Bombyx mori: one gene and its partners. The protein of the gene in region 1 binds, or shares a complex with, the protein of each later gene. Links are inferred from orthologs where the notes say so. Each region holds a gene or a part of one and is shown on either strand. Other genes may lie near its edges.

What was found. Proteins that work in one complex are often made in the same cells at the same time.
Region 2: DNA polymerase epsilon subunit 3 (region 1) and DNA polymerase epsilon subunit 4 share a complex: the UniProt entries of both Drosophila melanogaster proteins name them as parts of the DNA polymerase epsilon complex. The link is inferred for Bombyx mori from reciprocal best matches to the Drosophila melanogaster genes Chrac-14 and PolE4.
Region 3: DNA polymerase epsilon subunit 3 (region 1) and molybdopterin synthase catalytic subunit share a complex: the UniProt entries of both Drosophila melanogaster proteins name them as parts of the ada2a-containing (ATAC) complex. The link is inferred for Bombyx mori from reciprocal best matches to the Drosophila melanogaster genes Chrac-14 and Mocs2B.

The regions. Positions count from the first base shown.
Region 1 is NC_085130.1:7,455,770-7,458,925, forward strand, and holds DNA polymerase epsilon subunit 3, read right to left. Parts: upstream 1,669-3,156; 5' UTR 1,544-1,668; coding exon 1,184-1,543; 3' UTR 655-1,183; downstream 1-654. UniProt on the Drosophila melanogaster protein: Accessory component of the DNA polymerase epsilon complex. Participates in DNA repair and in chromosomal DNA replication. Histone-like protein which promotes nucleosome sliding of ATP-dependent nucleosome remodeling complexes.
Region 2 is NC_085128.1:3,897,701-3,901,269, forward strand, and holds DNA polymerase epsilon subunit 4, read left to right. Parts: upstream 1-1,682; 5' UTR 1,683-1,991; coding exon 1,992-2,285; intron 2,286-2,777; coding exon 2,778-2,921; 3' UTR 2,922-2,983; downstream 2,984-3,569. UniProt on the Drosophila melanogaster protein: Accessory component of the DNA polymerase epsilon complex. Participates in DNA repair and in chromosomal DNA replication. Has a role in cell cycle progression. Required for wing morphogenesis.
Region 3 is NC_085131.1:1,996,975-2,001,544, reverse strand, and holds the start of molybdopterin synthase catalytic subunit, read left to right. Parts: upstream 1-1,684; 5' UTR 1,685-1,953; intron 1,954-2,024; exon of another isoform or gene 2,025-2,431; intron 2,432-2,678; 5' UTR 2,679-2,994; coding exon 2,995-3,123; intron 3,124-4,570. UniProt on the Drosophila melanogaster protein: Catalytic subunit of the molybdopterin synthase complex, a complex that catalyzes the conversion of precursor Z into molybdopterin.

The DNA of each region.
Region 1 (3,156 bases):
GATTATTTTTGGTCAAATGATTATCGTCATTCACATAACATGCCCATACCATAATTCTTCCATTTTTTACTTTGTCAGTGGAACTACTTTGAGACTTCCTATAAACACTTATTTTGAATCTTATCCTATGATGTTATATTGTATTTGAGTCGTCTATTATCAAAGGTGGCAATCTGTGCATTTGGACAAAAAAATGTTATTGATATGTCAATACAGATTGATTTGAATATAATCGTCTCCTTCAAAGAATACGGTTCAAAACCTGCATTAAATAAAGGTTAATACTTAACCTGTTATTTATCTAAGATGTCGTTCAGAAGAGTTTTGTGACTGCCAACAGAATACAAAGTCAATAATTCGTTTTTCTGATTTACCAATAATTGTCCAAAAGTCACATTGCCGGCTTTGATAATAGTCGACTCATTTGATTCATATTTCGTATCATTTAATTCAAATTGGTTGTCATGTCCCACTCTTGACAAAAGCCAAAACAAACTACCAAGTTTCGAGAACTACCACCATAGATAAGCAGGGCATTGAATATTGTATGATATATTGAATGAAAATAATTGGAGGTTTTCACACAAACATAACCATTATTTTAATTTCTCTTGAGACTATTCTAGAATACTGAAAAATAATAGAAAAGCCAGATTCTAACAAAATTTTCTTATAATTACAAGTTTTAAAAGGATGTGTGACCAGATCTAGTAATAATTGTAACATTTACATAACATACATACATACATAACCTAACATTAAGTAATTTTTATGGCAGTAAAAATTAAGTTTAGAAAAATATCAGTAATAAATCAAATAAAATACTTTTAATTTTAGCAAATTGCAAAAACAAATTTTGAGAAGTTCTAAGTTTTAATTGTAGTTAATTTACTGATGTAAAAGTAAGTGGACACAATTCATTTTGGGATGCTTTTGAAGTTTACTTGTTTTTAATAAAAGTTTATTTAATTTTAAAACACTTCATACATTATTACCAACTGATTAATTATTGCGAGGTAACTGTTGTAAATGTTCATGGGAAACTTGTTTCATTTAAACATTTATCACTTTTGTAACACAGGCATGGGTTCTTTGAACTTATTTCATATAGTTTTTCAGCACAGTTTCTGAATATACACCACTAAGCGCCACTATACATTTTAAACTCAAGTCGCAGTAGTATTCAATCGTCTTCTATAATCTCAGCGTCTTCTTGTTCATCTTTTTTCTTCATAGAAGCGGATTTTCGTGCCGAAGCCATGGTCTTGTAATGTTCCAGAGCTTCTCCTAAAGGTTCCACAAATCTATCAAATTCGATGTCTTTCATAGCATCTATCACGTCCTGCCCAGTGAGAGCCTTCCTTTTTTTGTTCTTAACAATATTTGTAGCTGCTGAAGTCACATAAAGTACAAAAACTGAAGCCGCCTTAGCGAGGCCAGTTCGCGCCTCTTTTGATATCGATACGCCACTGGGAAGAGCTTCTTTTACGATTCTAGTTACAACTGTGAGTGGTAAATTCAAATCTTCGAGTTTTTCAGCCATTTTTGTTTATAACGTTCCTATTTATAAAATCTGGAATTAAATGAAAACATTAATTTAACCGCCAGAAGCACTAATGACATTTCTTGACATTGATTGGAGCATACAGTCACAGTTATAGATTATACACAGTTACGAATGTTACGATAGTACTCTCTATGTGTATTATCTATGGATACAAGGGTTAGTAACTGCCGCCTGTCGCCGTGCTACAAAAAGTCTCAAAAATAGGTACTCGGAATACAATGCCTTTTTTTCAAAGTTTTCATAGGTATCGTGGCTTAAACTATATTATTATGCTGTATGAGATACCCGGTGAAGTTACATAAAACGATGGGACAATACCAGCAGTTAGATCCTGCAGTGTAGTAGCCTACCGAATTCACAATTAGTATTTAGCGTTATCACGTGTTTATTTGTTGTTTATTCAACGTTTCTATTATTCTTCAAAATTAAAACCTCAAATCTTATTCACGTTACATGCTATAAAAACATTGCGATCTGTTTTCCAAAAATATTACAAAAATATAGGATTGCGTGATAATTTTAATTCACTGGTGGCAAGAAAGCACGCATTGATGATGACGCATAATGTCCATTTAACGAATGCAGACCAGAAGAGGGCTTGTAGTGCAGCAAAGATCAAGACAATATGAGATAAACTTAAACTGTATGCTTTGGTGGGAAATCGACTTTATCGTCTAATTAACTCAAAATATTTAGCAGTCACCATTATCCAAAATAATTCACGGTCAAAAAATAAATTACTCAAAAGTATGTAAAAGTTTATTTTCGCTATTATTTTTTGGTTAAATTATTATAATCTGATAATCTGTTATTTTAATCAGCCATTTAATTCGCTTGAAACCTTGTTGATTGTTGATAAAAATAAAAAGCAATGGTTCGAACACTCGTGTTGTTTGTAGAATTATTTGATTTGCACGATGTCGATATAATGAGAAACGAACGAAATTACTTGCTCATTTCTGCCACAAAGCATTATTGCATTCCGGTTTGAAGGGAGGAACAGCAATAAAAATTTCATCTTTAAAAAATAACATGGCCTTCAGTTCACAAAAGCTTCGCGTTCGTTATCATGTTACCCGTAAACAGCTGATTTACGAGTGACCAGTGTGCTTAAAAACATTATTTAGAAAATATAATAAAATATATCAGTAGGCTTACCATAGATTTACTAGGCATACATTGACTACCATGAAAGCGTATATTAGCGTATCAAAGGACACGTTGTCCGTGTTAGTTCGTTTTTAAAACATAATAGGTATCTACTTTTTAGATAGAAATTGACAACTGAATCAACTAAACAGGTCAATGACCTAGTTTTACAGAAATCGATGAAAAATTAAAAATGAATGACGTGAATACATATAAAAGGGAAGGTCAATTGTTGAATTTACTAAGTACGTAATAAAATTGAAATAAAATTTATAAATACATTTTTATTGAGTTAGGTACGCTTGGAGGTATTGCGCAAACTCGTGGTGCAATGTTGATGCCAGTGTTGTTTTGACAATAGTGATGTCCAAATGAACAAAAACGCGATAGCGTGTTATATTCTCTATTTTTTTAAGCTATTATGTTTTTTGTTACTAATA
Region 2 (3,569 bases), on another chromosome or scaffold:
TTTAAAGGGAGTTTGTGGATTTCCTTAACCATTCGCTAGTAGTCTAAGGGGCTATATCAGCTACGCCCGGATGGCTAGGCGATCTCAAGGGCTCAACCTGGGAGAATTTGCTAATACTAGTCCTAGCAAAAGCAGTGCTTCGCAGAATCTACATCCGGATCGGAATCACGACCCACCTAGAAGATCAGGCGAAAAACTAAGTCCGTTGTGTCTATGGTAGAGTTTGTGAAGAGTTTTCAGCAGTAGGCAGCCTCTTCGTGTTTGCCTGGTATATGTGGCATCAAGCTCAAGGGAGTGACGTTAACTACGGACCACGAGATAGACTTTATGGTCTGCATTCAAACGATATAAAAGAGATTTAATACATTAGAATATATTACAATATTTATTGATTTTTATTATTCCGTAGACAGGTGTATGAAGCCACAACCCATTTGGTTAATTAAGTGGTTACTGAAGCCCATAAACACCACTACCTACTTGGATGCCGCCACCTACCTTGAGATATAAAGTCTAGAGCTCTACTTTATCAAGCTTGTCCTAATCTACAAATTGGATCGCATTATTGTTTTGTGGTAATGCATTACGGTTTCACCAAATTTTATAAGATGAAGAAATTGTTTTTAAATATCACCGCAAGCCCATACACCGACTAGCTTAAGTACTCTGTGACATTAATAAACATTTACTGTATAAGTTGTGTCTTCTTTGCAAGAAAAATACTCACATTAAAATCAAAATGTTAACAAGGACTCTATGATAGATAACTTTTTCGATAAACGGCAAATTTAGGGAATTGTTTATTAATCTTAATTTAGCAATTCTTGTCGTGCGCATTTTAAAGTTTGTAATAAGTGTGCAAGTTTCCAACAACCAAAAAAGGGGTGGATTTTGATTTTCGAATGGTTTCAAAAATTTCATTGAAGTGAATTCTTAAAACTACACGGAAAAAATGAATTAACATTTCAGCTCATTTCATTAGATTTTTTCCATTTAAATTTCCGTATGTAAACCTTCGGCCTTTTATTAAAGGAGTATGTCTTAAGATCCCTTTGCTTAACCGATTGAATAAAGCAAAATAGAAACGGCAACACTATAGTCGGATTTTTAATTAGACGAAGCCAGCTGACAGTAGCTAATGTCACTTTGTGAAATAATGTTGCTATATTTAAAGTAATAGTGATGCGTTCAGTTCTCTTTCAATCACATAAATGAACAATGAGTGTGAAGAGTTAATCATTAATTTCAAACTATAAAAGAATATTATTTATATTTTACAATAAAATTGTATTAAAGTGATCCAATATAATAATATGTTACTAGTAGTATGTAACTACAATCAGTTTGTTTTATTTTCATTACCTATGTACCTATAATTGTTACATTTTATACATCTATAGTTTCAACTATATGATGCATTGGAAATAGGACAGTCTTACAAGCTTCCTCGCAATGTTTTTCTTAATGTTTAAAACACTCGGTATTCAGTACAGGTAGATACCATAGGAACATAATGTTTCGTCGAAAACTCGTTGGTATGTACAAAGCACGGCTAAAATTCGAACCCCGTGCCCGATATCGGCAGTTCGGCACACTAACTATTCACTAGACAATCGGGGCAATTTCATTAATTCAGGAGTTTTTTCAATCGTTCACTTTGTCACAACACTATTTTTATTTCATCAAAAACTGACAACACAGTAAACGTCAGTTTACTTCGTCTAATAAAAAATCCGACTATATGTTTGGTTTTTTAATTTTTAAATAAATAAACTTAGATATTTAAATAGAAACTTATTGCAAACATAATTTTCTTTGACTGATACAGTAAATTAAGTTATTAAATAAATTATTTTACTCTGCGATTGCCAAATATTACACTTAGTGCATATTATTCTTTATGTTCTAACTGTAAGATTTTATTAGCACGTAAATTTTGGAATAAAATATTTACTTTTTAAAGTACATATAAACTTTCATCTTTAAAAAATATGTCTGAAGAAGAATGCCACGAAGATGTCGACATTTCAGATATTACAGAGCATTCGGAATCATATCTAGAAAATGAACATCTAAAATTTGCACTGACGGAGGCTACAGAAGCAGATAATAACAAACTAGAATTTGAACTAAACTCTGAGGAACAAGTACATGAGAAGAAACAGAAAACTGAAGTTATAAGATCTACAAAGCTTCCTATAGCGAGAATTAAAAACATTATGAAAATGGACCCAGATGTAAATATTGTATCTAGCGATGCTGTATTTTTGGTTACTAAAGCGACAGTAAGTATCCTAAATAATTATCTTTAATTTCTAAAATTTCAAATGAACGTGACATTTATTTAAAGCTTCCTCCTCCGTGAGTTGGATTCCTCATGTTTGAGGGTTGTGACTATCTCCCATTATCCTTCTCTACATGATGTTTCACCATCTTCCTCTGTTCTCGGCGATGTGTAAAAGGTTTTTTTAAAGCTTAAAGGCTCCTTTATTTAATGCACTTAGTTTTGTATTCATAAAAAAAAAATTATAACAATAACCACTCAGGCATTGTATATATTTCCTTATTCTGGCTTAGTAACCCAAAAATTTTGACCTTCAGAGATTGCCATTAATTTAAATCCTGGATTGTGTTGTGCTAGTTGTTAGTGGAAAAATTACTGGATGAAATAAATTTTTTATGCTTAATTGGGTGTGTGAAAATATTAGCACCCCCTTAAATGTGTTACAAGGTGCTAGAGTAAAACAGTAGTACAATTTATCTAATTTCTGTTCCAGGAAATGTTTCTAGAAACAATAGTGAAAGAAACTTATGCATTTACATCATCAAATAAACGGAAGGTTATATCAAAGAAAGATTTGGAACTTGTAATAGATAAAGTTGATTGTTTGTGCTTTTTAGAAGGTGCTATGGACTTCTAGATTTTATAAGAAATATCTTATAATTCATTAGTTATTAAATAAATTATATAAATATTTTAAAACTTTGTCTATATTGTTGATCTTAACTTGGTTTTATTTAATTCTTCAAATCATCATCAACAATAAACTTAATTGCATAAGCACTCATACTTAACTCAGAGGTAACTGCTCAACAAGAGGAGGGTTTTAGGTACATGTTGCCAGTTATGCTAATAAATAAAATATCACCTAGCTCTTTAAAGATTTCCACAAATTACAATGAGCTAGAAAACAAATTCATTGGATTCATGCCATAGTTCATAAACTTATTACTATGGATTTGAATTTAAAATATGCATAAAAATTAACATTTAGTAGATTTCCTAAGTCTTTCAAATACAACAATTCTGGGGAGATATATGAAAAAGGGAAGATCTTCCACCGAGTGAGGGATATTGCTTGGTAGAACGATTGTCTAAATGTTGTTTGGGACTTGTATATATGCAAGCTATCTTAAAAATGTAAGCGAGATTCAGGCATCAGTCAGATATCTTGTGTTGTATGGCTATCCGTCACTACATTCAGGTGATTAGATGCTACATGACAGATGAGGTAACAATTCTTTAAGTAAAAAAAAACTAAATTATTTCTTGTTTTATTTTTTATTGC
Region 3 (4,570 bases), on another chromosome or scaffold:
GTAAAATAAACGGTTCGGTAAGTATGTCATTAGAAAACAAAAATGTCCGAGCACTGAACTGAAACTCGCATTCGTATTCTATTTTTATCCTTTTTGTGTTGTACGTTGTACGTAGTCCATTTTATATAAGAAGCGCACCCAGAGGGAATCTTGCCAAAAAATAACGATCAGTATACATAGAAGCAGCACACAAACATACCGGATTGAAAACCGTTTGAATTCGGTAACTTTTTCAATTTGAACTGTCAATTGTCAGATTATGGTAGTGCAGTTAGTATCGATAGTGACGTAAAATTAAATCGAGTTGCGAAGGTGTTTAAGCATTATCTATGGTCAAGTGGAAGAAAAAGAATGTCAAACGGCAGGAGACATGATCACCGAAAGAATTCAAATCTAAACTCATAGGATTAACCTTAATGTATAATAAGAGAGTGTCAACCTATAGAGCCATCGCTACAACATTTCGACACTGTCATTTTAAAATACGAAATGTCGTATTTCCGCTACTTGTTAAAAAATAAACATATTATCGTTTATGCGTAAACTTTTGTTGCTGTTTTTCAAAATTTCACTTCTAGGAATATTTTCTTTGAGAGTTAAAAAGTAGGGGTTGAAAGTGTAATTTCTCTCATTTGAAAGAGAACTGTCAATATTGAAGCTTTTACATAAAGCTTAGTAAAAATAATACACGTGATGTAATTACAATATATTACCTATGGCCATTACTGTAAACAATAATGTACTTTCTTTTACTTGTATTATGATGTACTTTCAGCAATAATTAGTTTATACATTATATGATTATATTTATTCATTATTACATAATTCACAATATCATTATTCATCCCGTGCAAAGACGGATCACTACTATTGAACATATGATGATTATTAATTGGATTATAAGATATTTTATAAATAGGCCTGAGACATGAAAATACAACATAAACATGATTTAATATGATGGAGAGATAGTAGTTAATAACAGACATATTTATAATTTAAGTTTAAATTTTAAGTATTTTATCAACAACTCTCGCTTGGAAAGAGGGTTTTTTTGAACCCCTAAAAAGAGATCCTAAAAGAATATCTATATTTTTAAAATACTATAAATGTAAAATTGAGTTTTGTTATTGACTCTTAATTTTCATGTTAAATTTTCGCATGCACCTTATCACGGGTAATTTTTCTTAGTACAATGGGAGCGAAGTAGATATGCTATAAAAATTTAATTACAAGGTGTGGTCCTGTCTTCTAAAGCGATCTCTTTCATTCAACCGTTGTATGGATAAGATTCAAGAAAGAAAAGTGTAAATCTACTATGACTAGAACACAAGAATGAAATTGGATATGCCATTGTAATATTTTTCCAATTAGGTATTTCTGCAACTAATATACTAAACTAATATGGTCTTTTCAACTATCTAGGTCCTAGATTCTAGGAGATGGAAATGGAGCAAAATCACTGGACTTGGCTGGTTGGCCTATTACGAAAACTGATATCATTCAAACTTTAAACTATTACCTTTTTTATACCTTAAAAAAGGTAATAGTATGGCTTGGTAATGACACCTTTACGCTTCTCGTGCAAAAGAATTTACTTTAATTTAATTCACGAAGCCCGCTATAGAAAGCAGAGTATTATATACACTTGACATTGGCGAAATCTAAAAGGAAACGCCATAAACCTAAGAGATAGATAGATAAAAGAATTTACTTTTTGAAACAAAGCCTATGAAATACTATTCCTTTGCCTGTTTTTTGGGATCAAACAAAAAGTTATTAATTCATAAACTATAACAGCTGTCTCTTGTTTTGCTTTTGAGTTTTAAAATTTGAATTTTAACTTAATTATAACACCTAATAGTTAGTAAGAATTTTAAAGAAGTGAAATTTCTAATCTAAGTTTGAGGAAAAAAAACCCTTACATTACTACCATTTAAGACAGAAGATACAGTAAGTATATTTAAAATTACTTTAATAAATAAAATGTTACGATTTTCAAGGTTACGGTATAACCTCCTAGTTATAAAAATCACACAGTTTAAATTAAATGATCGCTGTAATGACATTTGTACCAACGACGTACTTGAAAATATCTAATAATATTATACTGTGTAAAGTATAGGTATCTATTGTATGAAAGTAGGTGTATGTAATTAGATCGTGAAATTCCGACACGGTCCAATGATCAGCAACATGTTTAAAGCAGTCGCCCATAAAATAAAAACTATATCCACGACATTCATGTAGGTAAGTCGAGTGAATCAGTCAGTAAGTAAATGAAACGCCGCGGTGATGCAGTCAGTAGATATATAATTTTTTAAAATACTTTTGATGTACATGGAAAGTGTATAACGGAAATTAAAAACCTTTTTATTATCCTACAACAAGTACAACATATTTAGTCTTTTATGGATCAATTCGAAATAAAGTAAGAATTTAATTTTTTAAATATTTTTCTTTAGATTTTGCAGCACCATTTTGTACTTTCTAGTTTTTTTTTTCAATTCAAATTACATGTATGTATTTTAATCATTATTGTTTACTATTTACACAGATTTAGAAGCAGTATTGACAGTAGCTATATTGATTATTTTGTTGTAATGTTTTTTATTTATTTTTACTTAAGCAACTTTTTTTTACAAACAGGTTTATAATAACACATCTTTTTATTGCAGGCTGGTAGATTGACTATGGTAAATTATGGAAATAGAAAATATAGAAGATACTGTAACAGTGAAGCTATTGTTTTTTGCTAAATCAAAAGAATTGTCGGGAGTTAGAGAAACTTCCATAACTTTACCAAGAAAGTTGGGATATCAGAGATTGTTGAATATTATATGCGATAAATATAACTTAAACAGTATTAAGAAAAATATACTTTTGGCTAAGAACGAGGTAGTGTGTGAGGATACAGTAGATATAGAAATTAATGAACAAGACAACTTAGCTGTTATACCACCATTGAGTGGAGGTTAAATAGTATTTCACAGGATGGACCATATAAAATTAACAGTAGATAGACTGTCAGTCGAAGAAATAAGTGAACTTGTAACTGATGATAGCTGCGGTGCAATTTCATTGTTTATTGGCACAACTAGAGACAATTTTGAAGGAAAAAAGGTAAACTTGTATTATTTAAAATTTTCTAGTCATTAGGAAAATAGGTATTTTGTTAAGATTCTGTATGTGAAGCCCGTTGTTCAAAACGGTAATGGCTTTTAACCATTTTAGTGTTAAGTGATATTTCATGTCACTATAGGCAGCAAATTCTTCGTGATCTACAGGATATGGCACCCGGTGCATTCACATCAAGCGACGCAATTTTCTTAATGAAATAGGTTAACAAATGTTCACAAATTATTTCTATAATAAAGGAATAACATTACTTGTTATAAAAATTGAACCCGCAATAATTATAATTTTTGTGTAATTATTGGTGATAGGGCATCATATCTGAGCCCACGCGGGTAAGTACCACCATCCTGCCTATATTTTCCGCGAAGCCGTAATGAGTTTCCGTTTAAAGGGTGGGGAAATTGTTGCAATGAAAAAACTGAGGCTTAGACAAAAAGAGTTTGAAGAGCAACCTAGCCCAAATACATAACCAACTTAATTTCTCGCTGGATTGGATTTCTCTTACTAGGACTATTGTTAGCAAATTCTCTCAGGATGAACCCCATGAGCTTACCAACCCGTCCGTGCGTAGCTGAAGATATAAATAAAGAAAATATGGCCATAACTCTTTGTCTATTTGCATCTTCTAAATTTACAATTTCCAACACAGATATAGTTGTTTACGTTCCATAGATAAGAAATGATTTATTTTATATTATAGTTTGACCTCTTTGAACACTTTTTGTAAACAACAACCAAGTCAGATAAATGTGGTGAAGTAAAAAATATTCATGTAAATGCAGTAAATAACAAGAGATTGTTTAGTCATACCGATGTTAGCAATGATTATATTTCAAAAATTTAAACTCATTTTTATACCTTTGTTTTCAAGTTAAGTCTGTTCATACGGTATGCTGCGGGCCACTTTGAACTAGAAGGTTGTTTCTTCCTAGTTTCGAGATAAAAAAAATATATTTTCGTAACGAGCTCACGGCCCACCTGTTGTTCAGTGGTTACTGGAGTCCATATACATACATCTACATCTCAATTGTTTAGTAATTACGCACGTTACTATTATATCGGATTTTTATTACACGATGTGGAAGTCATTCGTGAACGTGTACTAAGTACGTATTTCATTAGAAATAAACCTTATCGTGACCGCCTAAAATTACATATCCGACCCAGGCCACGAGGCAAATCAAAGGTACCGTCGTCTAAAGAACATCCGACGACATTTATTGAAGTCGTCGTGGCCTAAAGGATAAGACGTCCGGTGCATTCGTATATAGCGATTGCACCGGTGTTCGAACCCCGCAGGCGGGTACCAATTTTTCTAATGAAATACGTACTCAACAAATGTTCACGATTGACTTCCACGGTGAAGGAATAACATCGTGTAATAAAAACGTAACGTGTACAATAAAAGTTTTAACATGTGGTAGGACCTCTT